Linked DNA regions of Astyanax mexicanus. The protein of the gene in region 1 purifies or fractionates together with the protein of each later gene. This does not show direct contact. Links are inferred from orthologs where the notes say so. Each region holds a gene or a part of one and is shown in the gene's direction. Other genes may lie near its edges. The genes, in order: ctnna1, tes and B-cadherin.

Region 1 (11,041 bases):
AAGATGATAAAATTATTATCTGCTCAGCAAGATCGTCAGCCAAACGCCGTAACTGTAGATGTAAATCATCAGGCCTGCTGAAATATGGGCGTTTAATAGCTCACTTTGCGTTCAGCTTGTTAATAAGCTTTATGGTAAATGAAGCGGCAGAGTCACAGTATCAGGAACTTCACCTCTGATCCAAAACAGGAAGCAGCCGGGTCGTATTCTCTGCACTGTCAGGATGAGCAGCTGCAGGGCTAATGCTGTGTTGGGTGTCAGTATAAAGATATGTGATTATTACTGAGATCTACAGTCCAGCAAAGCTTGTAATTTTGAGTCAAACTAGAGGTCAGAGTTTAACGGCAGTTCACTGCACATCTCTGAGCTGCTTCTACTCAACCTCAATCAGGGAAGCTCATCAGAGAGCCTATGTATAATTTTATATGAAGAGTTGTTTTTAGACATTTTCATTTATAACATTTAGCAGACACTCTAATCCAGAGCTAATAAAGTCACTAAAACCTCTGATTTTAGCTGACTCCACCCTCAGCTCAAATTTCAAAATGACAAAAAATTAAAAAATGGGAGGGGCACTGGGTGATGTATGGGTTTAGGGGCAGGGCAAGAGGGAAAGATTGATTGGCTGAGCTGCAGCAGCAGCAGTGTGCCTTTGATAGTGGTGAGACGCAGATGGTTGGACGTCAGCAAGAGGGGGCGGTGGGGTATTATTGAGACTGATTTGCATATTGTGATTTGTCTGTGCACCAAAGTACACGCAAACATCAGCCAAGTCTATAGCACAGTTAAACCTGAGAGGGCGCTGCAGAGGAGGAAAATAACCAAAATAAAAGCGTTTTTTTTAAAGGTTAGGAAAGGTTTATAAAAATTATAAGCAGGACTGGTATGTTTCATTACTTTAAAGGAACACATTTTAGCTATTAATTAAAATAATATGGTTTAGGGTTTAGTGGCTCTTAAACTGAGAATACTACCAGAACTAAGCCAAAAAAAATACCCTAATGCGACAGTAAAACAACTTGTCTCAATTTCTAGAACCTAAATATAATGATTACTATGCAAAAACATGTACAAATCCTGTGTATATACTAATTTTAAATGATGCCTTGAAAGTGCCTATATTATGATCAATTGCATTTTACAGTTGCAGGTCAACACAAAACATTAATTCTTCAAAAAGGTAATGTAACAATCAGGGAGTGAATCAGATGCTCGTAGATAAAAAAAAAAAAAAACAACCAATAGGGTTTCTTAGAAAAAGGTCAGCTCAAAAGAGAAATGCAGAAAACAGTCCAGGTCAGTAAGATCCAAGGCAAAACATTACACAAGGGAAGATCCAAAGGAGTAAATGAGATTCAGGCAGAGGTTAACACCAAGAACTACAAAAAAATCAGCAAAATAAAGACAGTAAACCGAAGACGAAAAAGGGTTATAACAAAAAAAGGCATAAGAAAAGGATAAACACTCACAAGAACAATACCGAGCAAAGAGTGTTAGATGGTCTGGGAAAACACTGCACTGACTTTGGACTTGAAGTGTGAAGTTTCCACCAATCAGTGATGGTTTGGAGAGACATGTCATCTGCTGGTGTTGATCCACTGTGTTTTATTATCAAGTCTAAAGTCAGTGCAGTTTTGTTTTCCCACAAAATCTTACAGCACTTCATGCTGCTTCCCTCTGCTACTGACAACTTTTATGGAGATGCAGATTTCATTTTCCAGCAGGACTTGGCACACTGCCCCCACTGCCAAAAGTACCAATTGTTCTTATATAATATTCTCATTTTCTGAAACACTGACTTTTGGTTTTTCATTGGCTGTAAGCTTCATAATCATAAACAATAAAATAAATAAACGCTTAAAACAGATCACTTTGTGTTTAATACATCTATATAATACAGTATATGAGTTTCACATTTTAAACTGATTTACTGAAATAAAGTAACATTTGGATGACATCCTATTTTTTGGAGATGCACTAGTGCTGTATGTTGGCTTCAAGAGCATTTTTCAACAAAGATCACTGCATTTACCATACTGTCCCAACTTTTTTCCTGATTTAAGTTTGTACACTGCGTGAGAGTGAGCTGTACAGTGGTAGGAGCTCAGCTCAGATATTTGGCCGAGCTCCTGACTGAGACGTTTTCATGACAGTGGAGGAGGTTGAGGCTTGCAGGGCTTGGAGAACATTGTAACATTTGAACCGAAGTACAGAAGTACATTATATTTTATACATTAGCCCTCTGGATGAGTGTGTGAGTGTGTGTGTGTGAGAGAGAGAGAATATAAAAGAACATGCCAAGAGCTTGGGCTGTCCACATTCTGTAGTCTGGAACTGAAGGAAAGAGGGATTCATGCTGGAGGAGGAGGAGGTAGATGTGATAGATAGGTTGGCGTGAAATCTAACCTTAATAAGAGTGCCATTCTAGGCCAAGTCTAACGCAGCACTGCGAGCGTCTGAATGGCTGCCCAGCAGCGGGGGAGTGTGTCTGCTCTGCTGAGCGCTATGTAAATGAACACGACACTCAAGACATATTTAAATAACAGTAATGATCTGGCTGGGTTAAGACTAGCCGTTAAAACAGCTTAAGCTTTAACCTAACAGAAATAAAACAGCTTGAAATGGAAGGAAAAAACATGACTTTTTGCATTAGTTATGTGTTGGGAATTATAATGATGATGATAAACATTTGCATTATCTTGTATCCATGTGTACTAAAAGGGTAAACTCATATAGGGGTATATTTTTATTCTTTTGATATAATTATCACATGTATAAGAATATAGACTACACAGAAATGTATGTATGTTCCATCATAATTACTCTTTATTTTCACTTATTATTTAAACCCGTCATGCATGTGTCCACCCTTCTATGGCAAACTGTCTGAGAGAATAAACGATTTTAGTAAAAACGGGCATTTAATGAAAACATGTTTGACCTAAATTTGCAGAAATGTTGAATTGTTCATGGTGACTGTTCTTGTTCTGTTTCAAAATTACATTTTGACTTTCTTTCTTTATTTTAATTACTGTGATATTTTCATATTTTTATTATTTGACAGGGTGAACAGCTTCAGCTTTACCTCTTTAAGCTAGATATGAAGACAATATGCATTATATCATTTTTAAAAAAATGGAAAAGCACTTCATGCTTCCCTCGGCTGACAACTTTTATGGAGATGTGGATTTTCCAGCAGGACTTGGCACACTGCCCACACTGACAAAAGTACCAATTGATCTTATATAATATTCTAATTTTCTGAGACACTGATTTTTGAGTTTTTATTGGCTGTAAGCCAAAATAATCAACAATAAAAGAAACTAGATTGCAGTTCCTACAGAAACTGCGAGTGTGATTGCAGTGCTGGCCGGGGTACCCAAACTTTTGACCCGTGGCTCCATTACACACAGTACTGGAGTTCTAGCTGCCGTCCTTCGATCTAGCTGCCATCCTCCGATGGCCCCATTCATTCCTATGGGGCCACTTCGTACGACAATCGTACGAAATTCGTATGTCGTAACGTTTCGTGACGCATATTTTCGGAAAGAGCTCAATAAGTTCTACAGGTCCTCAATTGGTTTCATCTTCGTATCTCAAAAATTGTGACGTACACGGCCGTGCAAAGTTCTGCCCATTCATTTTCAATGGGCAAAAAAGCGCACACTTCGATCGGAAAGCTGTATACAAGCCCACCATTCCCGATAAGGACGCACGTTTTGTCTTTTGAACGAAGTCGATATCTCGAAAACTGCGGCACTAGTTAACCGGACAAAAAACAGGTGGAATAATAATAATAAGAAGAAGAATAAGACTTAAGAAGAACAATACTGTGATTGCATACTGCAATCACACTAATAAATGCTTAAAATAGATCAATCTGTGTGTAATACATCTATATAATGAGTTTACTGAATTACTGAAATAAAGTAACTTTTCAATGATATTCTAATTTTTTGAGATGCACTAGTAGTACATGTATAATATCAAGGATTAGCATCAGCCAAGAATTCCTACATCGAGCGTCCCTAAATAAAATCGTAAAAGAGAAGAAAAATTACCACAAAATTTCAACAAGATATTTCCACATCATGACCAGATATCTCTGACTTTGTATTTAAAATAACCAGATTGTGTCTCAAAGTAATGAAACAACATCTCAAAATATTCAGAAATAATTTCTAAATATTGAGAACATTAAGAAGATCTCAAAAATAATGGAAAATCTTGTCTAAATGACTTATGACTCTTGACTCTTTATTTTTATCTTTATCTTTATTTATATATGTCATTTACTGGAGAATGGCCCAATGACTAGCATTCATCTCAAACAAATTACTTAGTTTCTAAAAGTAACGAGATAGCAATTCCCCCTATGGAGCCCCTAACGTGACATTATGTAAAAAAAAAATGTGGGAACGAGATCCTAAGGCGTGGAAGAAAATAATTTGGCATGGGAACAAGATAATTAAGGCATGGGAACGAGATTATTAAAGCGTGGCCACGACTTATTAAGGCGTGGGAACAAGTTAATTTAATCTAGCCGAGAATAATAAAGCTGGCTTTTCTGTAAATTAATGCCCATGAAAAAATATCACTCCTGCTAAAGGCACTCAGTCCTGTTACTGGAACTACCTCCTTTTAGTGGCACTCATTTTAGTGTTAGTTTTTATGTTATGAGTAACAGGAAAGAAAGTAACAGGAATGAGTTTCAAATCAAATGTACATAAAAACTAATGAGTTGAACTTAATTTTTGTCTTCCCATGATCTTCAGAAGAACCAGCTGATGTCACTTCCTGTTCTAGATGTGACTTGTAGAATGTTCCAGATTGTCCAGATGGGGTAATGTGTTACGGTAACAGAACCGAGTGAAAACCAGGGACACAACTAAAGTGTGTTTTTTGACGTAAAGGTCTCTTTCCGCTGAAATATATCTTTTCTTGTTCTTTGTGAAATACTGTAGGTCTCTATGAATTGTATATGATGCTGCACATGAAACTGATTCTTAGGCTCCCTTGTCTGCAGTAGTTTGTGAAAGAAAATCCTCAGAAGTACAAGTTGATCAGAGAGATGTAAAATGTCAATCAGTGATATATTTGCATATAAATAGCAAGAACCAAATCATGACTTTCTTTAGAGACCAGTAATTCAGTGATCTAAAGCAGGGCTAAATAAAAACACCGGAGCACTTAAAAAAAAAAAAAAAAACACAAAGCATTCATTTATACTAGAGACCACAAGGATATGTTTTAAAATGATTTAAAAAAACGGTAGAATGGGACCTTTAAATATTATGAATTAATTATGAAAAACATATTTTTAAAGCATAGATGGGATTTAAAGTCACACAACAATGCAAAAAAAAATATATATATATTTCATGGTAAAGTTTATAGTCAGACAGTGGGGGCAAATAACAAATGCTATTTTTTCAGTGTTCTAAGTAGTTTTTATTAATGTTTTTAATTGCATATCTTACTTTTGCAATTGGGTAATGTACAAGATACTATGCTTAATAATAAACTGTATTTTAAAGTTATTTTGTGTGCACATTTAAACATGTACTTTACTGGAGACAGAAAAAGACAGAAATGGCACCCATTTGGTGGAATGGCCCAATGACTAAAGGTATCTCAAGCAAATTACTTAGTATCTAAAATCAACGAAATAGCAATTCCCCCCTATGGAGCCCCTAACGTGACATTATGTAAAAAAAAAATGTGTGGGAACGAGATCCTAAGGCGTGGGAATAAAATAATTTGGCATGGGAACGAGATAATTAAAGCATGGGAACGAGATTATTAAGGCGTGGCCACGACTTATTAAGGCGTGGGAACAAGTTAATTTAATCTAGCCAAGAAAAATAAAGCTGGCTTTTCTGTAAATTAATGCTCATGAAAAAACTGAATATTATATCAAAGCTCCTTTAATCCAAAGATAATCTTTAGTAAGAAAATAGAGAGTAAACTGGTTTATTTTTATTTTAATCTCTTAATGATTTATGATGATTTATGATAGCACACATCTATTTTTTTTACATAATGTCACCTTAGGGCAGGGGTGTCCAAACTACGGCCCGTGGGCCATTTGCGGCCCGTTTCCTTTTTTGGAGCGGCCCGCAAGGTATTTTAGAAATAGAATGAACGTTGGCCCGCTGTTAAGCAGGTTTTTATAATGTGAGAAAAAAAAGCAGTTGTAGCGCAGAAAAAATGGGCCAAATAGTCTAAAGGTTGCCGTAATTAAGGGAGTTTAATATTAAGAGACATCATGAAATTAAACATCAATTTGAAAAATCTTAGTTTACACAACACTGTCAAAGATAAAGATAGTAAGTCAAGTTAAATGGTGTGTAAATGAAAGTAATCAGGAAAATGTATTATTTAAAGTGGTATATTTCATTATTTGTTTTATTACAGAGTCTGTGGCCTGTGACTTCAAATATATTTCTCCTTCTAGCCCCCAACAAAAAAAGTTTGGACACCCCTGCCTTAGGGGCTTCGTACAATTCACTTAATAACGTAAAATAAATAGAATCTAGATGTATTTTGTATTTTCAGCAGTTAAATAGAGGTATTTAAGCTAAATGTGCAGTTTTGTAGTTACTAGTGCTGGAGTGTGCAGTCTGTGCTGGTCTGTATCCGGTATAAATCAGCAGATCTAAGAGCTGAGGGGGATTAATGTGTTGTTCTGTAATCTGAACCTGTGTGTAATGTGTGTGAGAGAAGATTAACAGGTAAATAAAGCGGTAAAGGTGAAGCTCGAGCCTGCAGCCACACCCAGCCCTCACCTGAGAACAGCCCCCTCCCCCTCTTCCGCCTGCTGCGTCACTGCCGCCATTCCAGGAACAGCTCCTCCCCCCCTCCGCTCCCACCCAGAACAGCCCTGAAAGGGAGAAAAGCGAGGCGTTCAGAAAGTGTGTATAGCGCGGATCTGCTGAGGAAACCAGCTGAGGATCATTTCAGCCTTTTTACCCGCGGTCTGAGTGCGTGTGCAGGGCTTTTCACCCACCGGAGAAAGCTTTAATACCGGGATCAGCGGCGGGAGGAAAACTTTCACCGGAATTTTAACCGCTCTTCCTCCATTTTGAGGTTTCGCCCAACTTAACTTTGTGTTTATCGTGTTTCGGTGAGTTTAATTTACTGTTTTACAGCCTAATCCTCGCTTTAACTGGCTTTAATTTGATTGTGAAGCTCGTATTATATGAAGTTTGTGTGAAAAAGCTGGAAAAAGGGAGCTGAAAGTTGATAGTTTGTGAAAATTCGCGCTCCGGTTTTCCAACTTGTGGGATAACTTAACTCAGCTAACATTCAGGAGAGAGTTATGGACTCCTCCCTAAAGCCTGGGGTTAAGTGCAGGTTTTCCGCCTTTTTAGACAAATTACCGACTTTTAAAAGCTTAAAAATCCTCTATATTTATTCCTGGATGTTAAAACAGGTGTTTTTAAACCATAAAATCCATTAAAACCAATAAATATAACATTTTAATTTCAAAATAAGTAACGTTACCTATTTACAGGCAAAATCCTTAACTTTAGCTGGCTAGCTGCTTGTTTGTTTGGGTTTTCCTAGTTTTATTTAAATTAAGTTTTAAAAGCGTCATTAACCATATATATTGTTATCCCTGGATGTTAAAACAGGTGTTTTTAAACGATTGAATCCATTAACAATATTAAATGTAACTTTAAATCCTAAAAAAAAATACTTTAGCTCGCTAGCTGCTTGTGTTTGGTTAAGTTAGATTCTTTTATTTTAGTTAAATCTACACATTTTAATAAGCTTTTGAACCTATATTTATTTATTTCTGGATGTTAAAACAGTTGTTTTTAAACAATATGTGATTTTTAAAATCTCAAAAGTTCTAAAATATGGGAGAAATCCATAACGTTAGCTGGTTAGCTCCCTGTGTTTGGTTAGTTTTTCCTCATTTGAACTAACTTAAACTTTAAAAGCTTCCAAAACCATCTAAATATCTATCCCTGGTTTTTAAAACATTTAAATCCATTAAAACCGTTAAATATCACATTTAATTTCAAAATAAGTACCTAAATACATGCAAAATCCTTAACTTTAGCAGGCTAGCTGCTTGTGTTTGGTTAGAGTCTTTCATTTTAGTTACATTTACACTTTTTAATAAGCTTTTAAACTCATATTTATTTATATCTGGATGTTAACAGTTGTTTTTAAACCATTAAATCCATCAAAACCATTAAATATAACATTTAATTTCAAAATAAGTACCTAAATACAGGCAAAATCCTTAACTTTAGCTGGCTAGCTGCTTGTGTTTGGTTGGGTTTTCCTTTTAAATTAAGTTTTAAAAGCGTCATTAACCATATATATTTATCCCTGGATGTTAAAACTGTTGTTTTAAACCATTAAATCCATTAAAAACATTAAATGTAACTTTAAATCCTAAAAAAAATATTATTTACCAAAATATGGGAGAAATCCCTGACTTTAGCTGGCTAGCTGCTTGTGTTTGGTTATATTCTTTCATTTTAGTTAAATAGACACATTTAAATAAGCTTTTAAACCCATATTTATTTATTTCTTGATGTGAAAGCAGATGTTTTCAAACAATATGTGACATTAAATCTCAAAAGTTCTAAAATATGGGAGAAATCAATAACTTTAGCTGGTTAGCTCCCTGTGTTTGGTTAGTTTTTCCTCATTTTATTTAAGCTAAACTTCAAAAGCTTCCGAAACCATCTAACTATCTATCCCTGGATTTTAAAACAGTTGTTTTAAACCAATGAAAACAATAAATATGACCTTCAGTTTCAAAATAAGTCTTAAATATAGGCAAATAAAAACTTTAGCTGGCTAGCTGTCTGTGTTTTGTTCAGGTTTTCGTCATCTTAGTTAAATTACTACGTTTTAAAAGCTTAATAAACCATAAATATTCATTCCTGGACGTTGAAACAGTAGTTTTTAAGCAATACCAAAATATAAGAGAGATCCTTAACTATAGCTGCCTAGCTCCCTGTGTTTGGTTAGCACTCTATAGCATTCCCACACTTCCTTAACTAATTCCACTTGGTTAAGCTAGGCTAATAAGCTAGCTAGCTGGGTAACAACTTGGATAACTAATTAGTTAGTTAAGCTATCTTTTTAAAGGTTTTTTTTTCTGGTCTTTATAGTACATTTATATTTCAGAAACTTAAAGAAACATGTTCATTTGAATCTATAATGCCCTTCCTGTGTCTCTTAGCCAGTCACAACCATGAGTAATAGGCTACGGTTTAATTACTCAAAATACATTTTGTCCAAATGATAATTAAATAACTTCTTACAAATACATTAATTGTCAAATTAAACACACAAAATATCACTACTATAAGGTTTGAGGTAAAGAAACTAGCTAGCTTAGGCTGTGTTGTCCCCACTGACCCCTCTGACCACAACCAGTGGGATTTTTGGGACTCCTCCCTAAAGCTTGGGGCTAATTTTAGATTTTTTGCCCTTTTGCCTAAATTTACAACTTTTTAAAAGCTTCCAAAACCCTGTATATTTATCCCTAGATGTTAAAACTCTTGTTCTTAAACAATTCAATCTATTAAAACCATCAAATATAACATTTAATATCAAACCTGCCTGTGTGTGTTCAGGTTTTTCTTATTTGATTTAAATAACCAAGTTTTAAAAGCTTCCCGACTTAGAAATATCATTGGATGTTAAAACATTTGTTTTTAAACAATGTGGCATTTACATTTTCGAAAAGTACCAAAATGTGGCATTCCCAAACTCCCTTAACTAATGCTACTTGGTTAAGCTAAGCTAAGCTAATTAGCTAGGTAGCTGGATGGCAACTTGGATAGCTTAATTAAAGAACTAGCAAGTTATCCAAGTTTTTTATGACTTTAAAGTATATTAATATATCAGATAAACCTAAAGAAACATATACATTTGAGTCTATAATGCCCTTCACGTTTCTCTTAACCAATCACATCCATGAGTAATGGTTACTACTCAGAATGTAATTTGTAAATCCAGTTGACAATTACATAATTTCTAACGAATACAGTACTTAAAAATATGACTTTATTAAAGGTTTATTGTTAAGGATTAGCTAGGTTATATGTTGTCCCTGCTGACCCCCCTGACTACAACTGGTGGGATATTTAGGACTCCTCCCTAAAGCCTGGGGCTAAGTTCCGATTTATTTTGCCTTTTTACTTAAATTAATGACTTAACATCCACGGATAAATACAGAGTTCTGGAAGCTTTTAAATCAGTTGTTCTTAAACCTTTGAACCAGCATTGAACCATCTATTAAAATGATTAATTATTAAAATTCAAAATTATTACCTAAATAAAGGCAAAATCCTTAACTTTAGCTGGCTAGCTCCCTGTGTTTGGTTAGATTTTCCTCACTGTTGGTAAATTAACAAGTTTAAAAGCTTCCAAATCGACTAATATTTATTCCTGAATATAAAATACCAAAATGAGGGAGAATAGATATAAAAGTTAGATAACTAGTAAGTTAGGCTATTTGAGTTTTTGTCTTTAAAGTATATTTATGTATATCAGGTAAACTTGGAGAAACATGTCCCATGCCTCTTAGCCAGTTACAACCATTAGTAATAGGCTACTACTCAATTTCTGTTCAGTTTAATTCATCCAGTTGACAATTACATAATTTCTAACGAATACAGTCATTACAAATATCACTTTATTTAAAGGTTTAATGTCCTCCCTACAGCCTCGGGCTTAGTCTAGATTTTCCACTTTTTGTTGCTTAAATTAACGACTTTAAAGCCCCCCAAACCCATCTATAGTTATGCCTGGATGTTTGTTTTATTAAAGCATTAAATACATTTAATTCATTATATGTGAGTATTTCCTAAACAAGTACCAAAATATAGGAGAAATCCTTAACTTTAGCTCACTAGCTGTTTGGTTAGATTTTCCTTGTTTTGTTTAAATTAACAAGTTTTAAAAGCTTCCAAACCCATAAATATTTATTCCTGGACATTAAACTGGTTGTTTTTAAACATCTTTGACGTTAAATCCCCAAAAAGTACCTACATATAGGAGAAAC
Region 2 (11,138 bases), on another chromosome or scaffold:
ACCCAGGGACACAAAAAATATATATATTTATAAATAAATATTATGTATTTATTCTGAAAATATTTTTAAAGCATAGATGGGATTTGGAGTCACACAACAATGCAAAAATATTACATTGCTAAAGTATTTTAATAATTATATTTTATGGTAAAGTTTATAGGTAGAGAGTGGGGTAACAGGTAACAAATGATATTTTTCACTGTTCTAAGTAGTTTTTTTATTAATGTTTTAATTACATATTTCACTTTTGCAATTAGATCAACATACAGAGACAATATGCTTAATAATAAATATATTTTCAGTAATTTAAATTTTGTGTGCACATTTATACATGTAATTTCCTGGATCTGGTTTTTCAAAACTTTGAATCTTGATTCAATTTTTCCAGATAATCAAATCCCCCATTTTCCTATCAAAATTCTAAATTATATCACAGGTTTTGTCTACATTTTTTTAAAACATATTCAGACTGGATATATTTGATTCAGGTATCACAGGATAAGGATTTCTAGATCTGGATTTTACATTTTTTTTAACTTCTTTATGTGGCCATCTGCTGGACAAATGATGTTTTGTCATTTTCTGTTAGTGGTAAAGAGATATCTTTAATAAACCACTTTAAGAGAGATTTTTTTATTTGAACATTTAATAATCACTGTCCATTTTAGAAGACATTGTAAACACATCACAATAAATACAATTTTAATTATAACAAGAGAAATAATGGTTTAACATGGCATTCTTCCTTGGCTGTCCAGCTGGTCCCTCAGGCAGAAGTGCTGTTTGTAGCAAATCAAAACCCCCATTTTAACGCTGAGGAAAAGCCGACTGTCCATCATTGTAGAGAGGGACCTTGCGTGTTCGTGCTATATTGTGAAGAACAATGCAGGCGCAGGTGATGTTGCATGTTTGCTTTGGCTGAACACGTCGGTAGTTCAAGCAAGCAAAGAGTCTTTTCAGGACCCCAATTAATCGTTCATTTGTCCCTCTAGCTGTTGCATGGGCCTGGTTAAAGTTCAATAGGTGGCATTAACCATGGTTAGAGTGGGTAACCACTGTCACCAATATGATGTCATCTGAGGGCTTTTGCTGGAAGTTCTTGAAAAAATTGCTCTCCTTAAAGATTCTTGCAGCATGCACTGACCCTGGTCATCTCACAACACAGTTTGTATTGATTAGGTCAGCATGTTCTACAAGTTAAACAATAATGCTAAATTTTGAATTGTCCTCCTTAAAAACTAAATAAAAGAAGCTGGCCTTGTTATTTCTTGTTATTAAAGGCCTTCAACTGACCTTTTGGCATGTTATTGTAAAATATACTCCCAGTAAGTAAACATTAATAAGTTTACTATTAGATATTGTTAAACTGACTCTCTGTTAAACCCAAACAAACAGAATTATGCACAATTGTTTCTTTTTTTGCCAATGTATTTGAATAAAGGTAATCAAACTGTTTCGTTATATGGTAAAAAGTTGTTTTAAATGCTGTTAAAACATGTTTACCATGTCTAAGTGTTTTTAAATCACATTTACAGAACACAGGTTTATTTTCAAGTAATTTATGTGCAAAGTGTGTCCTCAAGTGTGTCCACTCTTAAGGTGGGATGAAAATTATCCTGTTATTTGGAATCAAAAGTATCCAAGATTTCTACTTTTTTTTTTTTTTAAATACGAACTTGAAGCATTTAATCCTGCATGAAGGTTTGATTAAATTATGAATAACCCATTATCTGTTAAAAAAAAAAAATTCTAGTGTAATCCAACAAGATTGATTTAATTCTGGCTTGGGGACAGAAATGGCACAGATTCAGTGAAATGGCCCTTATATTTGTATTTGAGTCAAAGAACCAATTAATATTTTGTTCTTTAAATATATTAACGAATCCAAGTAAACTAATTTATATTACAGTTATAGTGTTATGTTGCCTATCCATTCTATTTGTCTGTAAATAGCGCTTGCTATAATTTTACACATAGTGATTTATTTTTTTAATTTACATTTATTGCATCTAGTCCTCCTTGTTTTTCCACTTAAACATCAAGTCTCTTTTGGCTGTTTCTCTCCGTGAGCCCCATATGAATAAGCAACATTCTTTATTTTTTGAAACCATGTTTAATACTAAAACATAGAACTAAAACATAGAATGCAGCACTTAAAAGACCACTTTTACACCTCTCAGAATCTCAAAGATCTCTGTGAGTTGACCATTTATTTTAACTCTTACCATGGATTTTACATAAAACACCATATTTATAAACTCACAAGAAAAAACATACATTTTAAAAACACTTATTATATATTTACGTATATAGATACTAGATACTAATATATATAGATACTGATACTAATATCTGATATAGAAATTAGTATCAGATTTATTAAATATCAACTCTATTTGCATATATTTGATAATCAATATTATTATAAATTATAATTAAAGTTAATGGTCTATAATTATTAAGATGTGGTTGGTTCTTACACATCCTGAGAACACAGATTAGCCAGAGTCAGACATGGAGCCTTTACCTTCATTATCACCTTCACATCCATTGAACTCCTCATCTGCACCACCTTATTCCCCGTCTCCTCTTCTGGCTTCTTTGACCCTAATTTTTAATTACAGCTTTCATGCATCTGGGCATGCTCTCCAAAATCTTTCACACTTCAGCAAGGCTGGAATTGGGCAGTTTGGTCTTTGCAAATGACGCATGAATAAAGCCACATACAAGGTAATCCTGGAAGAAAACTTGCTTCCTTCTGCTCTGGCAATATTCCCCAACTCTGAGGACAGTGCAGGACAATTATCCATGCCACACAGCTAGATCAATTAATGTGTGGATGAAGGACCACCAGATCAAGACAGTGTCTCCGACCCTGAACCCCATTGAAAATCTATAGAATGTAATCAAGAAGAAGATGAAACAAAGCTGAACTGCTTAAATTTTTGCATCAGGATTTGCATAAGGTCAGTCGCAGCGGCCATTCTGGGAGCAAAACACAGTGTTTTTTCTTTTGTATTGTTGTTAAAACCCTATCTGAACTCGCAATGGTGGTGCCGTCCATCCTTCTCTCCAACGTCTGCTCCCTGAAGAATAAACTGGACTACCTCCGGATCCAGCGGACAACTCAGCGCGAGTTCAGAGACTGCCGTGTGTTCAGTGATTAACGGACTCAATCCCAGACACCGCCATTCAGCCAGACGGCATGCTCTTTTTCCGTGCGGACAGCAACGCGGACATGTCCAGTAAGGCCCGCGGGGTGGGGGGGTGATGGGGGGGTTTGTGTGTTTCAACACAGCATGGTGTAACAACGCTGCACTGGTCTCCAGCTACTGCTTGCCGCTGGTGGAGTTTCGCTATAGTCAGAGCCAGATCATTTTACCTGCCCAGAGAGCTAAGCAACGTGTACATAATAGCAGTGTATGTAGCAACATACTTGTTGAGAGATGCTACTTCTGAAGACTCCATCAACCTGGAGGACTACACAGATTCAGTGACTGGCTATATCAGCAAGTGCATTGATGATTATACTGTCTCCAAAACAATCACAACACACCCCAACCAGAAGCTGTGGATGACTGCTGAGGTGCGTGTGCTGCTGAGAACCCGGGACAAGGCCTTCAGGTCAGGGGACAATGCTGGCCTCAGAACTGCTAGAGCCAAGCTCTCCCGGAGGGTCAGAGAGGCAAAGCGCATCTACGCAAAGAAAATCCACACCCCCTTCCAGGACAGTGCTGACTCTCGGCACATGTGGCAGGGCATCCAGGCCATCACCAGCTACAAAACACCCCCACCTGCTAGTAACAGTGATGCCTCTTTTTCAGATGCGCTGAACACCTTCTACGCAAGGTTTGAAGCTCAGAACTACACAACGGCAAGGAAGACCACACCTCCACCAAACGACCAGGTACTGTGCCTGTCCTCAGCTGATGTGCGGAGAACTCTACTGAGAATCAATCCTCGGAAAGCCCCAGGACCAGACAGCTTACCTTGCAGAGTGCTCAGAGGATGTGCAGACCAGTTCACGGATGTTCTTACAGACATTTTCAACATTTCTCTGAGCACTGCGGTCATGCTGACCTGCTTTAAGACGACCACCATCGTTCCTGTGCCAAAGAAGTCTCAAGTGTCCTAAATGAAGTGCTTTGCGAGGCTGTTCATGAGGCACATAAAAAATCAGCCCCCTCTCCTCACAGAAGGTTTGCGTATCATCCAAATCGATCAACAGATGATGTCATCTCAACTGCACTCCACCTGGCTCTCACCCACCTGGACAACAAAGACTGCTATGTTTGAATGCTGTTCATCGAGTTAAGTTCATCATTCAACACCATCATCCCTCAGCATCTAATTGCAAAACTGAGCTTGCTGGGCCTGAACTACAACACCTCCAGCACCACCATACTGAGCACCGGTGCTCCCAGAGCTGCTCAGTCCACTGCTGTTCACCCTGCTGACTCATGACTGTACTGCAAAGTACAGCTTAAACCATGTCATCAAGTTTGCTGATGATGACACAACTGTAGTTGCCTCATCAGCAAGAACTACGAGTCAGCATACAGAGAGGAGGTGCAGTGGCTGACAGACTGGTGCAGAACCAATAATCTATCTCTAAATGTGGATAAACATGTCGACTTCAGGAGAGCACCAGGTGTCCACCACCCGCTGAACATCAACGTATCTGCTGTGTAAATTGTAAAGAACACCAAGTTCCTGTGTTTTCACATTGCAGAAAACCTCACCTGGTCCCCTAAAACCAGCACCATAAAAAAGAAAGCCCAGCAGTGCCTCTACTCCCTGCGGAGACTGAGGAAAGCACATCTCCCACCTCCCATCCTCACCATGTTCTACAGAGGGACTGCAGAGAGCATCCTGAGCACCTGCATTACTGTCTGGTTTGGGAACTGTAACACTGGAACGCAAGACCCTACAGCGGATAGTTAGGACAGCTGAGAAGATCATCGGAGTCTCTCATAATTTCACTACACTGTGTACCTGTACTCAGATGTAATGACAATAAAAGGCTTTTGACTTGACTTGACTTGAGACACATGAAACTGATTTAAAATTCTTGGTTATTTTACCAATTATTGATTCTGAACTCTTCCTTACACTCACACTACACAGCTACACAACCACACACACACACCCTTACTTCACAGCTACACACACTTACATATACACTCACACTACACAGCTACACACACACAGTCCATAGATACACACACAATTACACTACACAGCTACACACACAATACACCGCTACACACACACACACACACTCACATACATTCACATTGCACAGCTACACACACTCCATAGAAACACACTTACTCACACTACATAGCTACACACACCTACTCACACACACAGGAAACAAACATCTAACTACACAAACACAATCCACAGAATTAAATTAAAAGCAAACAGCTAAAAGTTTGGCAAAACCTCTGCTCCACTCTACTACTCACATTCGTGGGGAGAGGGAGGGAGAGAGAGAAAATGTGTGTGTGTGTGTGTGTGTGTGTGTGTGTGTGTGTGTGTGTGTGTGTGTGTGTGTGTGTAAAATGGAGCTCTGCATGCTCACACTCTCCACACCCTGTTAAGTAAAGCCACAACTTCCTCTGTGATAGTGCTGAAATGAGTAATGAAGTGGCTCAGGCTGTGTTTAGTGTTGGCTGTGTGTATTGTGTGTACAGTGTGTACAGTCTGTAGTGTTCAGTGTGTGTAGTGTTTAGTGTGTGGCGTGTTCACTGTGTGTAGTGTAGTTTTGCAGTGTGTATGTTTTCAGTGCGTATTGTAGTGTTTGCAATCTGTAGTATTCGGTGTGTGTAGTGTTTGCATTGTGTATTGTTTGCTGTGTTTAGTTTTTGTTCTTTGTGACATTCTTCATATTATTAATGTAAATATAATAACATTAATAATCTAATATTCTCTCATATAAATAATACACAGTAGTCAGTGCTTATAATATAGTTTTGTTCCTAATAGTAACCTAGCTGTTCTCCATAGTTCTTATTCTAGTTCATATCCATGCAGTTTAATGTTACAATATCAGAGGAAGTTCTACTAATGTTTCTTTTATAAGAGCGTGAGATCTGCAGGTGGAGACTGTCCGACTTCACTCATCTCTCACCCCACCCATCTCACCCCACTAACTGCGCCCCCTGGTCGAGGCGCTGCTGTTTCTCCAACACGCCTATTCCATCCCCTCCGTGTGTTACACTCTCAGTGCGGAAGGATCCGTGCTCGGCTCTGATTGGTCCTCTGAATCCGGTGGTTTCAGACTATTGGTTGAGAGCTGCAGGCTGGAGGACAGAGGAAGAGTGAACAATGAACTGAGAGTGAGGAGGAGGAGGAGCTTATTCACCCCGGACTTTACCTGCAGCTCAGTCCCACTGTCTCACAGTTACCTTCACTGAGCCCACCTCCCTATAGCAGCTCAATAGAAGAACCCGCAATGGAAATCGAAAAGGAGGTGAAAAAGGTGAGTCCTGCTCGGTTTGGGGAGTGTCCTGTATAGTCCGGTAGACTCCTGCTCGGTTCGGTGAGTGTCCGGTAGAGTCCTGCTCGGTTTGGGGAGTGTCCTGTATAGTCCGGTAGACTCCTGCTCGGTTTGGGGAGTGTCCGGTAGAGTCCTGCTCGGTTTGGTGAGTGTCCTGTATAGTCCGGTAGACTCCTGCTCGGTTTAGGGAGTGTCCGGTAGAGTCCTGCTCGGTTTGGGGAGTGTCCTGTAGAGTCCTGCTCGGTTCGGTGAGTGTCCAGTAGAGTCCTTCTCGGTTCGGGGAGGGTCTGGTACTGTCTTTCTCGGTTTGGGGAGTGTCCTGTGTAGTCCGACAGAGTCCTGTGTAGTCCGGTAGAGTCCTGCTCTGATCAGGGAGTGTCCGGTAAAGGTGACAGGGGTCCCAGAAACGCCCAGGACGGTAGAGAAGGAAGTTCTCCATGATGGCGAGAGGCTGAGGTTAGAGCTGAATCACGACTGAAGCCAGAGAGAAACCTGCCAACACAACTCGCTTAACTCTCTTCTGTAGAGGAGCACATTTATTTAGAATGAGCCTTTAAATCTATTATTATTATTGGTAGTTTTCATTGTCAGAATCATGGAAGGGCTTTATTTTGTTATTTCGTTTATTTCAGCTGTTCATTGTTTACGACAAGCGCTGATGGTTAGGCAAAACACACAAAATAGGATTTAATAACATTTTTGTTAGCAGGCTAGGCCCAAACCTGTAGACAACTAGGATACCAACGTATCCTTTTGCGTTCATTAAGTGTCCAGACACCTCATCTAATAGTAATTGACAGTTGGTAAAATTGCTATAGAAAAGCATTGGCAGCACAATGGGATACTTCCTGGAACAGCTGTACACCAGCCTAAGGTCACCATTACCCATGACTAGAAGGATATAATGTTTACTCTGGGGTGATGGAGCTCTATCCCATACTTTTTGGATGAGCTGGATGAGTTTCAGCACTAAATTACCAAATGAAAGTGCTCCTGTGACTGAATACAGTCAGATCTTTACAGAAGTGTTTCAAAATCTTAACATCTATAAAATGTACATGTTCCTCTGCAGCCACATAAAAAGACCTTAAATAGAACGTCTATGAGAATAGTCTGCAGTAAGACTATGACAGAACAAAAGTGCAGTGTATGGTTTAACTAAAATCAATAACTGGTATCTTTTGTCTCCTCGGATGTTAGTCGTCCATCATGGCCCTCGTCATTTCAACTGTGGGTCAGATGTCAGAAAGGTGCAGAGTCCTCACTGAAGGCCTTTCATTCATTCCCCAGTGTTTGAATCGGCCCTTTTTTAACTATGACTTCATGTTCACAATTCCTGCATATTATTTTCATGCAGTGAATCTGCTGTTCTACAACATGCCAAAGGCCTTAGATCTGGTGACTCAAGAGGTCAGTAAAACCACTGAACAAACGATCATGTTCATGAGACCTGTGTTAAAATGTTTTTTGATTTGTGACATTGTGTCATGCTGAAGTAGCCTTTAGTAACTGGACTGTTGCCACAAAGCATGTTTTGTCCACAGAAATCCTGAAGTATATACTGAAAAGTGATCAGAAGAAAAAAACTCAAACCAATTCTGACACCAACAATCCCATTTTGTCTGCATACATGATGGGTGATGTGAAGATCTGAAGCTGGTTGATGTGAAGACCTGAAGCTGGTGGCTAGAATCTGCATGGTTTTATGCATTGCAATGCTACTACGTCACTAATTAGATAATTGAATGAATGTGTAATTGAGCTATTCCTAGCAAAGTGCTTAATGAGGGTAAAATAATAACAAAGTAATTTATCTTAGTTTCAGAGCAAGAATGTTTAAAATGTAGAAAGGACTGGTCCTGATTTGTTTTGATCAGAATGCTAAAGTGGAGTAAATATAAGCCTGCTGTACCTTGCATGCTGTTCCTAGTGTGCTGATGTTACTTCCATTTGAACGGGGAGAAAGGAAAGGCTCAAGTGTTTAAAGATGTGAAGAGAATCATACACAAACATTTACTTTAAGGCGAGTGAATAATGTTTTTAGTGTTGACATACTGCCATCTAACGCACAGTAGCACAGAGAAGAAACAGCTGTGAAGGTCAGACTAAACCTCTTAAAATGCAGACATAGAGATACAGTATTTTATTTTAAGCATTTATTTAGTATGAACGGGAGTGCTAGCAGTTATTTTATACTACTACTACTTCTACTCATAATACTATTATTATAAGTAATAATAATAATAATAATAATAATAATAATGTTTTATTAATATGGTGCCTAATATGGCTACAAACCCAAGAATGCTTTCCCTTTTTTTACATATCTGATCGAGCATTTTGTAGTGATCGGGGCACAACACAGTACCAGGTGACACCTCTCTATGCCACATGTTCCTGCATAGCAAGGTCTGGTTCTCATAAGTGGTAAATTATATGCTGCTGGTAGATAATGGGATTAGTGTAAATATTAGTTGCAATGTTAGTAGAACCTATAAACTTTAGTTAGGACGTTGTGGTAAAAGTCCAGGCAGAGATACTAGGCCTCTTGAGAGGTGGGGTAACTCCGTTATTTTACCGCAACAGAGGACTAAAGCTTTCAGAACAGGAGAAGACTATTTAGTGCCCCCAGGCTTTTCCTCACACCCTCAAATACTTATCCTTATATAGCCATCCCAGCTGTAGCTGTTTGGTGTGCACAGGAAGAATGATGATGTGGGAAAATTTTGGCAGTGCTCTTCAGTGTACTGACAGCAGTGAAAAGTGAAAATGACTGAACTATCTTACAGACTGTTCATAAAGTATGTAAATAAACAGCTGTTTTGTCTAAGTAACAGTGACCTAGATACACAGACAGTGTGTTTATAAAAAATGGTAAAAATTGGAAATATCCTCTCAGACAGTATCACACTTTCACAATCAAAACTGGTCTCAGCGAAAAGCTGCTCTTAAGGGATTTAAGGCTAGAAAAGAAGCCTTTAAGCAGGATTTGTGCATAATGCTGAGATGTTCCTGTGCTGTATTGGCAGATTACCCTGGGCCATGAGGTAGGAGCTGGCGCCGCCTGTCTTAAATGCAAGGACAAATGTGAGGGATTTGAGCTGCACTTCTGGAGGTATGTATAGAGTTTATTCATTAATGCACGCCTAGCATTGTGTTTTTCATCATCATTGGTTTTGCCATTGAGTTTCATTGTGCGACTGATATCATCAATGTCACATCAAAATGTATGTCTTTACCAAAGCTGCCCTGTGGTTTACACTAGCTAAACTTAATATTCTTTTAAAATTAAATAAATACGATTGCAGTCCATAATAGCTTGGGATAATTCATTTTATTGTTTCTTAGTAATAGTCCTGGTGCCCCCATTCTCTGCACATTTAGTGCGTTCCTATGTTGTTCTGTTGAGACCCTTGCAGAATTTGCTCTCTTGTTTACTCCCATTGTTATTTTATTTTTTTCTTCTACAGCTTACATTTCCCTTTTTATTTTGTCAAAATCCAGAAAGGAAAACCCAGTGACTCAGTGGGAGTGTTCTTGCCATGAATTCCACTCGGCTAGTTTTCTTAAAGAACACTCTACAGGTGCCAGAGTGCAAACTGTGCCCCTTTTCTTTTACCACAGTAGCCCCACACTCAGCCCTAGACATGGGGACACAGTGGGAGTATTGTTGAAAACCTTCAGTCTGGGAAGGAGATGACCATTGTGTTCTGAATGATGTCTGGTGAACTGGTTGGGGCTAGACCATTCAAAGACTGAAATCATTTATCTTTGAGGATTTAAGCTGTAAACTTGTGCTCCAAACAAAGCAGCTTCCAAAGAGTCACCGGAAACAATTCACTTTTGCTTTTTTTCTTTCTAAGGCAGCAGGGTGACTTTGCATTTCCTCTTGACGTTGTTGGGTTTTGCTTTGTTAGCCATTGTTAGCGTTCTCTGCTTTCCTGACAGATTGAAAGTGGTTATTTTAGACAAGGTCTTTTAACCTTTTAGCATTGCATATTTAAGTAGCCCCACATTCAGATCTAAGACCAATGATTCTTGTTTAAGAGCAACCCAACTCTGGCAACTTAAATATGGCCATGTTCTGAAGTTGTCTGTGCTAACCTAAAATGATATGATCTCAACATGTCCCTGCATTATATTTAGTTTTGTTTCCACAATTCCCTTAAATGTTAGATATATTTTAAACAATCCTTGGATTATTCCACATAAACACACCACATGGCCTTTAAGAAATTCCCTCAAAATTTTTAAAATAATTGTCAAAAACTATTACCCCCAGTTAAGCGAATTAGTCATCCACATGCCATTGGTCCCCACATGGCTGCCACATATATATATATAAGTATTTTCAATAAATGATTTTCATGAAACTTAACCTGCAAATCACTGGTTCTTTAAAATCTGGATAAAACAGATTTGAAAATAAAACGGTAGTTAAATTACAAAATCTGGTTTATGATTATAGACTAAAGTCTTGGCTGTTTTTTATTGATTGCTTTTAATATGTATTTAGATTTGATTTGACATTCTTAGTACACATAATGTTAAATATTAACGTTTGTTCATTTTTATACTGTTTGACATGTATGCTTTAAATGATCTAACATCATACAACGTTTACTTTAAGCCT
Region 3 (11,052 bases), on another chromosome or scaffold:
CTACCTTTTCAAAACATATGAATAAACATACCAGGTCCTGTGCTACACATATGGCTGGAAGATCTAGTAAATGTAATATTCTCTTAACTACTGCCTTAGAAAACAGTGCAGCAGCGGTGCTTTAATACAGAGCCAGCATTGTCCAGGTATTTGTTTATTCTGCTCGTGGTATGAGGAAATGGACACTGTGCATAAATGGGCGCTGAAACACACTGCTGCATTATTAATACCCTAATAACCAACCAGCGCACAGGATGCAGTCTGATGAGTAAGAGCTTTTAGAAGCTAAAGAACAACAGGCTGTGCTGGGAAAGACTGTGCAGTCATCTTCACCACAGTGTTCCAGATCAGAGCTGTGTTCAAACATCTGAGATCCCCCAATAACTTCTTTAACATCACAATTTAATATAAAAATCACATTTAAAATCACATTTATTTATTGAGTTAAGAAAAGATTAATACACTTCATGGTAATTCATGAGGAATATCTAACAATATTAAACAATATTATAATTTATTTTTGTTAAATATCATAAAAAAACAGCTTGCGCAGCTAAAGTGGTTCCTATTGGATCCTAAAATGTTGCTAAGTGGTTGCTACAGTATTTTAATGCATTGTAATGGTTGTTAATGTGTTTCTACGCCATTCCTAAGGGGTTGATTGATTGGCTGTTGCTAGTTGGTTGTTATAAAAAAAAGTGGTTGGTTGCTAAGGTGTTGCTAGGAGGATGCCATGGTGTAGCAAGTATATACTGAGTTGTTTTAAATGATTAGGAGTAAATATGGAGGAACAAGGGATGACGGTCAGTGTGGCTGTGGATTAGAGTATGGTGGCCTGCCCTGATAGAGTACATTGAATTAATGGCTCGTTGACAAATGAATGATAATTAATGGCTGGAACAGGGTTAAGAAATTTCCGTTTGTGTTGTTATCAGTGTCAGAAGCTAGTGCCCATTTCTAAATACACCAATACATCAGTTGAACACTTATAAGTGTGTACACTCCATCAGGATTAAACTTTAAAAAAAACTCCATCAGAAAAGCTCTGCTCAGCAAATCAATCAAACCAGAGTGAAACTAGTGACCCACCATTCAGTCCAACATTCACTCCAGTTCAGTTTAAAATTAAATAAAAGTTAAAACAGTGATTAAAAACACTTAACTCAACATCAGCATAAATCCAATTAGCATTGACTTAAAAATATTTTAAGATTGTTATCAGTAAGGACGTAAAATGTTGTAAATTGTACTTTGGCATTTAGACTCAAATTTACAAATGTATTCGACGACAAACACTTACAAAGAAACACCAAGTAGTGCATAATATAATTTTATGTGAAATTCTCAAGTAACTAGACTGCACTAAATTATTTGTGTAGATACAGGGGTTGGACAATGAAACTGAAACACCTTTCATTTTAGTGTGGGAGGTTTCATGGCTAAATTGGAGCAGCCTGGTGGCCGATCTTCATTAATTACACATTGCACCAGTAAGAGCAGAGTGTGAAGGTTCAATTAGCAGGGTAAGAGCACAGTTCTGCTCAAAATATTGCAATGCACACAACATTATGGGTGACATACCAGAGTTGTTGGTGCACGTCATGCTGGAGCATCTGTGACCAAGACAGCAAGTCTTTGTGATGTATCAAGAGCCACTGTATCCAGGGTAATGTCAGCATACCACCAAGAAGGACCAACCACATCCAACAGGATTAACTGTGGACGCTGTAAGAGGAAGCTGTCTGAAAGGGATGTTGTATCCAAAAAAACATAAAACCATGGCTGCCCAAATCACGGCAGAATTCAATGTGCACCTCAACTCTCCTGTTTCCACCAGAACTGTCCGTCGGGACAATAAATGATTGTGGTCTAAAACCAGGTGTTTCAGTTTCATTGTCCAACCCTTGTTGTACTTAAATAGACTTATTTATATTTACAAAGTCAAAAAAGCTTAAAATCAATTGTTAGTAACACATGCAAAGGTCAAAGCAATGGCTTTAAACATCCCTGTTTCTGATTTACAGACAAGATAATAGACATTCACTAAATAACAAATACAGAATAAGTTACATTTGTTATGCAATAAACAGGATTAACACACAGCCGGATTGCTGAGTGGCAGCACAAAAATCAATCGCTGGAATCTGGGAAAGGATAAAGCCTCTCACAGCTCCACTCTCCGGCCGTCCCACGGGAACAGACTGTGGGTTCTCTCGCTGAGGGAGGAGAGCACAGGCATGAATAGTGTCTTTCAGTTATAGCAAATATCAACCAACTGCTGAGATCCTGTGAGCAGCCTTGTGTACAGCAGCCTGTAACACGTTCAGTTATCAGCAAAGATAGAGTAGACCAGCGATTCTCAACTGAACTGGTGGGTCGGGAGCCAAAAGTGGGTCGCGGACTTGTTCTGAGTAGGTCGCAGACAGCTTGAAAAAAAAAAAAAACATAAAAAATATATAATAATTATTATAATGATAATGCTTTTTTGTACTTGTCTTTTATATTGGGGGAAAAAGAGAGGCAGGGAGTTACTAATGAAATATCTTATTGTGTATCCTCTTTTATTTTGCACAGTTTTGATTTTTAATTTTATTATTGTAACTTTTATACATTTATACATATTATACTGTTCTCATACAGAGTTCCCCAACGATGGAACAAACTACCTTCCACTACCAGATCAGGAGAATCTCTCGCTATCTTTAATAAACTCCTGAAGACAGAGCTCTTCAAAGAGCACTTACTCTCCTAACACCTCTAACACACTAACTACTTCTAACCTCATTTCCTTTTTCCCCTCCTTCACTTCTCTATCCCTTTATTTCCCTTCGACCTCCTTTAAGCCCTGTCTAAAAAATGTTTTACCTTTAACTTCTATTTTGTTCTTGACTATTGTAAGTCGCTTTGGACAAAAGCGTCTGCCAAATGTAATGTAATGTAATGCAAACATTTAGTTGTCATGTTCCTCCTCAGTTTCTTAAAGAAATACTAGTAAATTCACTTTGCATATGTATGTTAAAATGGATTTTTAAGGCCATTTTTAAAAAATAAGTTTGCTTGCGTTCTATTCCATAAAAGTGGGCCGCGACTGGTCCTGGGCTAAGACCAGTTGAGAACCCCTGGACTAGACTATTTCAGCTTCCTCCAGTCAGCTTCATCCCATGTGGAGGCCTACACATCTTTAAATTCTCCTTTTTAAATACTGTAAATGATGCACCTGGTTCTGCAATTTAAAAAAAAATGTCTAGTGGAAGTGATGCAGGGAGACAGACACCGATTCTCCTTATGAACATTTTCATCAGCTGGTAAGAAACCCACAATCGCAGTGTCATGATCAAATGTCTACAATGAGCCGTTTCAAAGAACGTATAGTGATTTCTAGCTTGTAGTGTGAAAAAAAGTATCTATTTGAATATCTCACAAAAAAAGTAAAATGAACTGAACTTTGAACTAGTTCAGAATTAAAATTGTGAACTTTCAACGTGAACTGTTCACTTTGAGCATGCATGAAGTGAACTTGAACTAGTTTAGAAAAGCTGTGAACTGGCACAACACTGTCCCTCCTGACAAAATGTAAAGTTTTGAAGCTGATAAAATGTAGTTAAAATGATATAAGAGAAATGTAATCCCCAATCACATCTATCTTCTGTCTCTAGACTGACTGCTCCTCACACAGTTACTGCTTTAAAGTACCAGAGTTTCATTTCATGCTGGAGATTCATGTGAATATGATTGTGTTTAAGCAGGTAGATGTAGAATTTAAGGTGGAATAACTATAACAAACGTCATAGTTATTCCAGCGGAACTAAGTTATAGTTCCTCTGACAAACACTAATTATGTAACAGCTGCAGTTCTTAAACTGGCATAGAAGGAAAATAAGAAAATGCAGTTCTTTATTCTGCCACCTTAAAGAGTGCAGCAGTTTAGCCCAAGCACCTGTAACTGCTTCACTGTTTAAGGTGGAATGAAAACATTAAATAAGGCAGTGTTAATGTGATGTGGAAGTATTTAACTTATTATTTAAAATGAACTGCTTCACTTTTTAAGGTGGAATTGAGTAATAAGCATCAGATGTCAGATTGTATTGGTGTATCTCGGCGAGTTTAAGCGAATACTAGACAAAATAAACGCAACCAAATCACAAGAATGATGTTAAATCAGTCTGTCAGAGATTTTCCTGGAGGAGCTGTGATCATTGAGGGCTTCACCTGAGACTGGAGGAGCCCTGAGAGCAAAGTTAGGCTAGACAGGACTTGAATTTCACCTGACACTGAGCAGACTGATCACTCCTTGACTTGGTACAATGAGCACTAGATACTATGTGGTGAGCAGCAGATACTATGTGGTGAGCACCAGATACTATGTGAGGGGCACCAGATACTATGTAAGGGGCACCAGATGTTACTGTATGTGGCAGTAAACAGTTGTTTTTACATGTTAGTCTCTGGGGCTTACCTCATTTTATGTGGGGCTCACCACATAGTACATGGTACATATCTGAGAGCTTCTGGTGTCCAACATTTAGTATCTAGTGCTTACCATAGTATCTGGTGCTCACCCACCACATAGTATCTTGTCCTCACTACATAGCATCTGGTGTTTACCACATAGTATCTGGTGCTCACTACAAAGTAACTGGTGGTTACCTGGTGCTTACTACACTGGTGGTTATCTGGTGCTTACTACATAGTATCTCGTCCTTACTATAAAGCATCTGGTGTTTACCACATAGTATCAGGTGCTCACCCACCACTTAGTATATTGTCCTGACTATATAGCTGGTGTTTACCACATAGTATCAGGTGTTTACAATATAGTATCAGGTGCTCACCGTGCAGTATCTTGTCTTCATCATATAGCATTTGGTGTGTACCACATAATATTTGGTGCTCACCACATCGTATCTGGTACTCACCACTTAGTGTAGTATCTTGTCCTCATATCGCAACTGGTGTATACCACATAGCATCTAGTGCTCACCACTTAGTATCTCATCTTCACTATACCGCATCTGGTGTTTACCACATAGTATCTTGTGCTCACTACTTAGTATCTTGTCTTCACTATGTAGCCTCTGGTGTTTTCCGCAAAGTATCTAGTGCTCACCACTGACTATCTTGTCCTCACTATACCGCATATGGTGATTTCCACATAGTATCTTGTGCTCACCACTTAGTATCTTGTCCTCTTTACATAGTATCTGGTGTTATTTGCTTGCATTTAAACAGCAGGTAGGCCATATTAGTTTAAAAAGTAATATAATATAATTTAATATAATAATTATTTCTACATTAATTTCCTCTCATATGAACAGTACGTTAAGTAAGCAGTGCTCAGGGCTTTAGCTGCTCTTTTTATTTAAGAGAAACCCTGCTGTTCATTATATTCATGCAATATCAGAGGGATTTGTGCTGCATCCACTGCTAAGAACACAAACAGTCAGTGGTGGTTCTGGACGCTTGGCCTGGGAATGGAGGAGGAGCCTGAGGAGCAAAGTCAGAATAGACAGAGTGTTTCAGTTCAGTTCTTCATTCAGTCTGATCCTCTGATTGAGACAAACTTTCTGCTGCTGGATTTTGTAGCTCATCTATAGATCGACTCATGAGGATGAGGATGGTATTCTCAAGGAGAAGATAGGATGATCCAGCACAGACAAAACTGAACTGAGGTGGGCATTTTGAGATATATTCTGTTAGTGGGATACAGAATATACTTTTTTTGAGTATATTGTGGATATCTTCAGTGTAAATTAACAAATTAATTAGCTTTCAATCACAGAGAGAGTAATTAGTAATGTTTAGGATAAGTTATAGAACATTTTGATTATATTTTTTGAGTATCATTTTAAATATAAAAAAAAAAATATTGTAAATATTGTGATTCATCTCATGATACAGGTATTTTTACCATATCGCCCAGCTCTTGTCTGGACCTCCACTAGGACTAAACTAAAGATAAACAAACAAACTTGCCATCATTCTGCTGTGTGTCAAATTATTATGATTATTTTTTTTAATGCATGTGAGATGTCTTATTTGAACACTCAAATAAGCTCTAATAAAACTGATAAAAAGTGAGGGAAAAAATAGAACTTTTTGTAACGTTGTAAACTACAGCTTGATTTGGATCTGCTGCTGGAGCTGCCATATTTAAAGTGGAAGGGAAAATGCTAATGCTTGCAACTTACTGTAGAATTAACTAATCAATTATTAAATTAGTTTCCAACTGATTTAATTGATTAGTTGTTGCAGTAGAGTAGTTGTAGCTCTACTCTAGTGTGTTTGCCAGGTCTAAATCCTACTCCATTATTATGTTTGTCCCACTACAAAACTGCAGAGAAATAAATACATAAAAAATGTATTGTGATTTTATTTATGATTAAATAACAGAATAATGTTCTAATGTTCTAATTTTATTTAAATATGCACTATTAAAAGCTTAATCTTTAAAAGATAAACCTTGTGATTAATTACAAAATGCTGGGATTAATCTGATTTTTGTTTTATTAATTGACCACTAATAAATAGGTAAACTTCACTTACCTCACTTCCAGACATGTATTTCAGACTTAAGTAAAAGTACAAGTGCTCAATCAAGAAGTTGAAGGGTTTTTTAAGCTCCAACCTTAAGCATAAAAGTAATAAAGTATTTTACATTTTTGTACTTAAGTATCAAGTAAGTAAATGTAGTACTGAAGTACTAAAAAAGTACAATATTTTGTTATGTAGTTGTTACAGAAGCAGTGAAAAGAAAGATTATGTGGGCTCAGAATGATTTCTAACATTTTTATAATTGTAACAAATAACAATTCAGCACATAAAAAAATATCAGAGTAAAAGTATTAAACTCATCCAAAATATGTAGTAAAGTAAAAAGAAACACTCCAGTAGATACATATACAGTAGTTTAGTACTTAAGTACAGTAGTGTAGTAAACATAATACTCCAATATGAGTACATATACAGTATTTTAGTACTTAGTAGTTAAGTAAAAACAATACTCTAGTAGATACAGATACAACATTTTAGTACTTATGTACAGTAGTGATGTCAAAATAATACTCTAGTAGATACAGATACAGCATGTTAGTACTTAAGTACAGTAGTAAAGTAAAAATAATACTCCAGTAGATACAGATACAGTATTTTAGTACTTTAGTACAGTAGTGAAATACAAATAATACTCAAGTAGATACTGATACAGCATTTTAGTACTTAAGTACAGTAGTGAAGTAAAAATAATACTCCAGTAGATACAGATACAGTATTTTAGTACTTTAGTACAGTAGTGAAATACAAATAATACTCAAGTAGATACAGATACAGCATTTTAGTACTTAAGTACAGTAGTGAAGTAAAAATAATACTCCAGTAGATACAGATACAGTATTTTAGTACTTTAGTACAGTAGTGAAATACAAATAATACTCAAGTAGATACTGATACAGCATTTTAGTACTTAAGTACAGTAGTGAAGTAAAAACAATACTCCAGTAGATACTACGTTTTAGTACTAAAGTACAGTAGTAAAGCAAAAAGTAATACTCTAGTAGAAACAGATATAGCATTTAAGTACTTAAGTACAGTAGTTAAGTAAAAAACAATAGAAAAAGTAAAAGTAACACTCCATGAGATACAGATGCAGTATTTTAATACTTAAGTACAGTAGTGAAGTAAAAATAATCCTCCAATAGATACAGATACTATATTTTAGTACTTAAGTACATTACTTAAGTAAAAACAATACTCCAGTAGATAGCAAAAGTAGGAGTAGAAGTAAAAGTAACACTCCATGAGATACAAATGCAGTATTTTAATACTTAAGTACAGTCCTTAAGTAAAAACAATACTCCAGTAGATAGCAAAAGTAGGAGTAGAAGTAAAAGTAATACTTCATGAGATAAAGATGCAGTATTTTAATAATTAAGTACAGTACTGAAGTAAAAGTAATACTCCAGTAGATACAGATACAGTATTTTAGTACTTAAGTACAGTCCTTAAGTAAAAACAATACTCCATTAGATAGTAAAAGTAGGAGTAGAAGTAAAAGTAACATTCTATGAGATACAGATGCAGTATTTTAATACTTAAGTACAGTAGTGAAGTAAAACTTATACTCCTGTAGACACAAATACAGTATTTTAGTACTTAAGAACAGTAGTAAAGTATTTATATACAGTAGTAATATACATTTCGTCTCGTTTCTGCAGGTTAGATCAGTCTTCAGCAGGTGGTGGAGCAGAAGGAGCTGGGAGATACTCGGAGAAGGTCTTACCTGGAGTTTTGGGGGAGGAGCCTAGAGAACCTGTGCCCATACTTGGTCAGCGCGAGGCGGATGGGCGAGGTCACCTGGTTGCGTCACGTGCAGAAACTGTGCTAGTTACCTGCTGCCTCGCAGTTCCTCCATTTAGCCTGGGGAAGAGTTCCAGCTCTGAGGAGAGCAGAGAGAGGGGATTTCCGAGGATTATTCGGTTTATTTTCTGTTACATGGAGACTTTAAGGAGTGTACGGCTGGGGGTTCTTCTCGTTCTACTGCAGGTAAGTTCTGCTTTAATTGGGGAAGATTTTAAACAGCTGTTTTTCTTACAAATATGGTCAAACATGTAGCTTAGCTAACTAAGAGTTAGTAGTTTGGCTTTAAATGAATTTAAACCAAGTAAAACATCAGCTACACACGGTTTTATTGCTATTTCTTTGGGTTTATTGGACTAAAATCCGTTTATTTCAGTAAATAAAACAGTTAAAAGAAGCTGAATGTGTTTTTTCTCGTCCTTTTTATTACAGGTGCTCTCCACCAGCTTTGCTGATCAGACGCCATGTTCAAACGGATTTGATTCAGCGGTGTTCATTTTCAAAGTGCACAGACCTCACCTTCACAGAGGCAGGAGGCTGGGCAGAGGTAAGACACTGGTTTTATAACCTTACTTTTTAAGAAATGTGATGTTAAAAATTGGAAAATGACTCTTGCGATGAGTATTTATACTTGTTAATGTGAATTTTTGTCTGTAAACTGGTTTAAACTTTGGTAAAGACCACTAACATGAATACTTTTGCACTTTAAAGTTTAGTCTTCTGACTATATGGAAAATATGCTGGTAAAATTAAGACTGCGTTATATGGCCCTAAAATAGTATCACGATATTTCAGGGTACTTTTGCGATATTAACGAGGTTCTGACAAACGTTTTTTAATGATTGTTAAGAGAATACTACTGCAACACAACAAACTAAAATCTATAAATGTTTATCTGTTTTGTAAAATAACTAAGACCATGATATTATAAAATAATGTTTATAAATAAAAATGTTTATAATATAACAAAAATAAAGTAATGTAACATCAATAATCTAGAACAGAACTGAATAAAGTGTAGCGTGTTTTTATTGCATATAAACTGCAAACAAACAATTGAAAGTAAACACAGAAAATGTATACCTAGATAAATACAAAATATATAAGTATAAGGTAATATTTGGCATTTAGTCATTTTTGTCATTCTGTGAGCTCTGGATTTGTGTGTTTTTATTTTTATATGAGTAAAAACTCCTTTCACACCTAAATATATCAGTGTACAGTGTAGTGTTTGTTTTTTTAAGCTTATTTTAACTTTGGTAACCTAGCTATATGATAAAGTTCTAGCTCAGAAGTTGTGTTTTTGCTGAAGTAGTTTGAAAATTCCCTCAGTGTTTAAGATTTAGTCATATTTCCTTTCTGTGTATTTTATATAAAGTCTGTAAACTATGATTTGTTCTGGATTTTGTTGATATTAACTTTGAAAAAGTAGACTAAATGGTAATGAAAATGGAAACACAGTGCTCTAACTCTAATGGTCCAAAAAAAAGACACTCATACTTGCCCACATTTAAGTATATTAAACCAAAAAAATGTACATAAAAATGAAAATGCTGTTACAACTTTCATTAATGGTGGTGTAGAGTTTATAATAGAGCCAAATAATTTTGGGTAAAGTATCCTATATCATAAAATTACAGTAAACTGTAAAATGTATATGTAATTAGGTTTTTAAACTTTGTTTTTTTTAGATTTAAATTGTTTAAACATGTTGTATCTTTTTCTAACCATTAAATGGTATTGATCTTTTCCTACTGAAACTTAACTGAAGCTGCGCTGAGCTTCGGCGAGTTTCAGTCGACGCCCTGTTGAAGGTCGATACTTGTTGTGTTTTAAAAAAGGCTGAGGAACCCTAGTGTTCATGTTTGGTCTTGTATGTTCGTGGCGTGTAGGCCTCTCATGTTGAGAATAATGCGTTTCATTGTTGGAGTAATGTAGCCTACAGCTGTTTTTAGCGCTTATTCTTCCATTTTCTTGGGGATTTTTTTTTCTTCCTCCTGCTTACCAAACTATCCACCAGTGCTTACTGCCCTTTCCCAGCTTTTATTAGAGGGCAGAGTACATAAATCCTGTATTAATGAGTGCAGGCGGTGGAGACCCATGGTGAGAGATGTGTGTGAAACATGTTTTATATTAATGTAAATAGTAGCTGTATGAGAAGTTGTACTTCACCAAATAAAATGTAAAACACAGTTTCTACTAATTATCTTTGGCCTACTTGTTTTCGTATTTAATACAATTTTACTTGTATTAAATGTACAATAGCCAGAATAACAGGGCCAATATTATTAAGAATCATGAATTTCATAGATTTTAAAGAAAAAAATAGAAAAGGCTAAGTTAATGAGTGTAGTGATGTGTGAAGCTTCAGTATATTTATTGAATCTATTTCTTTATCTATTTATTTGCTTAGTTATTTAATTATTTTGCCTAAATATATCTACATTCTCTAATAGTTTAAATATATTATTTGTGTGTGAGTGTACATGTGGCCGTCTCTATTGTTTTTTGTTCCTTTTTTTTTTTTGGTATCTAATTGCAGTGGTTAACAGTAATATATATTTTACTATATCAGTTGTAAAGCATTCTCTTTGTAATCCAACTAGCTATTGTGATCTATAGGTTTATATGTATACATGAAGTAGTACGGAGTATTGAGTGGTTGTGGGTAAATTGTATGGAATTTAAGAAAAATATATG

What was found.
Region 2: the proteins of ctnna1 (region 1) and tes purify together in Homo sapiens (affinity purification with mass spectrometry; 3 studies listed by BioGRID and IntAct, with this or other methods). This does not show direct contact. The link is inferred for Astyanax mexicanus from reciprocal best matches to the Homo sapiens genes CTNNA1 and TES.
Region 3: the proteins of ctnna1 (region 1) and B-cadherin purify together in Homo sapiens (affinity purification with western blotting; 10 studies listed by BioGRID and IntAct, with this or other methods). This does not show direct contact. The link is inferred for Astyanax mexicanus from reciprocal best matches to the Homo sapiens genes CTNNA1 and CDH1.

What each region holds. Positions count from the first base shown.
Region 1 is NC_064409.1:75,354,242-75,365,282, forward strand, and holds the start of ctnna1 (catenin alpha-1), read left to right. Parts: upstream 1-6,850; 5' UTR 6,851-7,126; intron 7,127-11,041. UniProt on the Homo sapiens protein: Associates with the cytoplasmic domain of a variety of cadherins. The association of catenins to cadherins produces a complex which is linked to the actin filament network, and which seems to be of primary importance for cadherins cell-adhesion properties.
Region 2 is NC_064417.1:17,742,929-17,754,066, forward strand, and holds the start of tes (testin), read left to right. Parts: upstream 1-6,327; 5' UTR 6,328-6,460; coding exon 6,461-6,487; intron 6,488-9,534; coding exon 9,535-9,620; intron 9,621-11,138. UniProt on the Homo sapiens protein: Scaffold protein that may play a role in cell adhesion, cell spreading and in the reorganization of the actin cytoskeleton. Plays a role in the regulation of cell proliferation. May act as a tumor suppressor. Inhibits tumor cell growth.
Region 3 is NC_064430.1:28,567,713-28,578,764, forward strand, and holds the start of B-cadherin, read left to right. Parts: upstream 1-5,550; 5' UTR 5,551-5,669; intron 5,670-8,210; 5' UTR 8,211-8,487; coding exon 8,488-8,538; intron 8,539-8,784; coding exon 8,785-8,899; intron 8,900-11,052.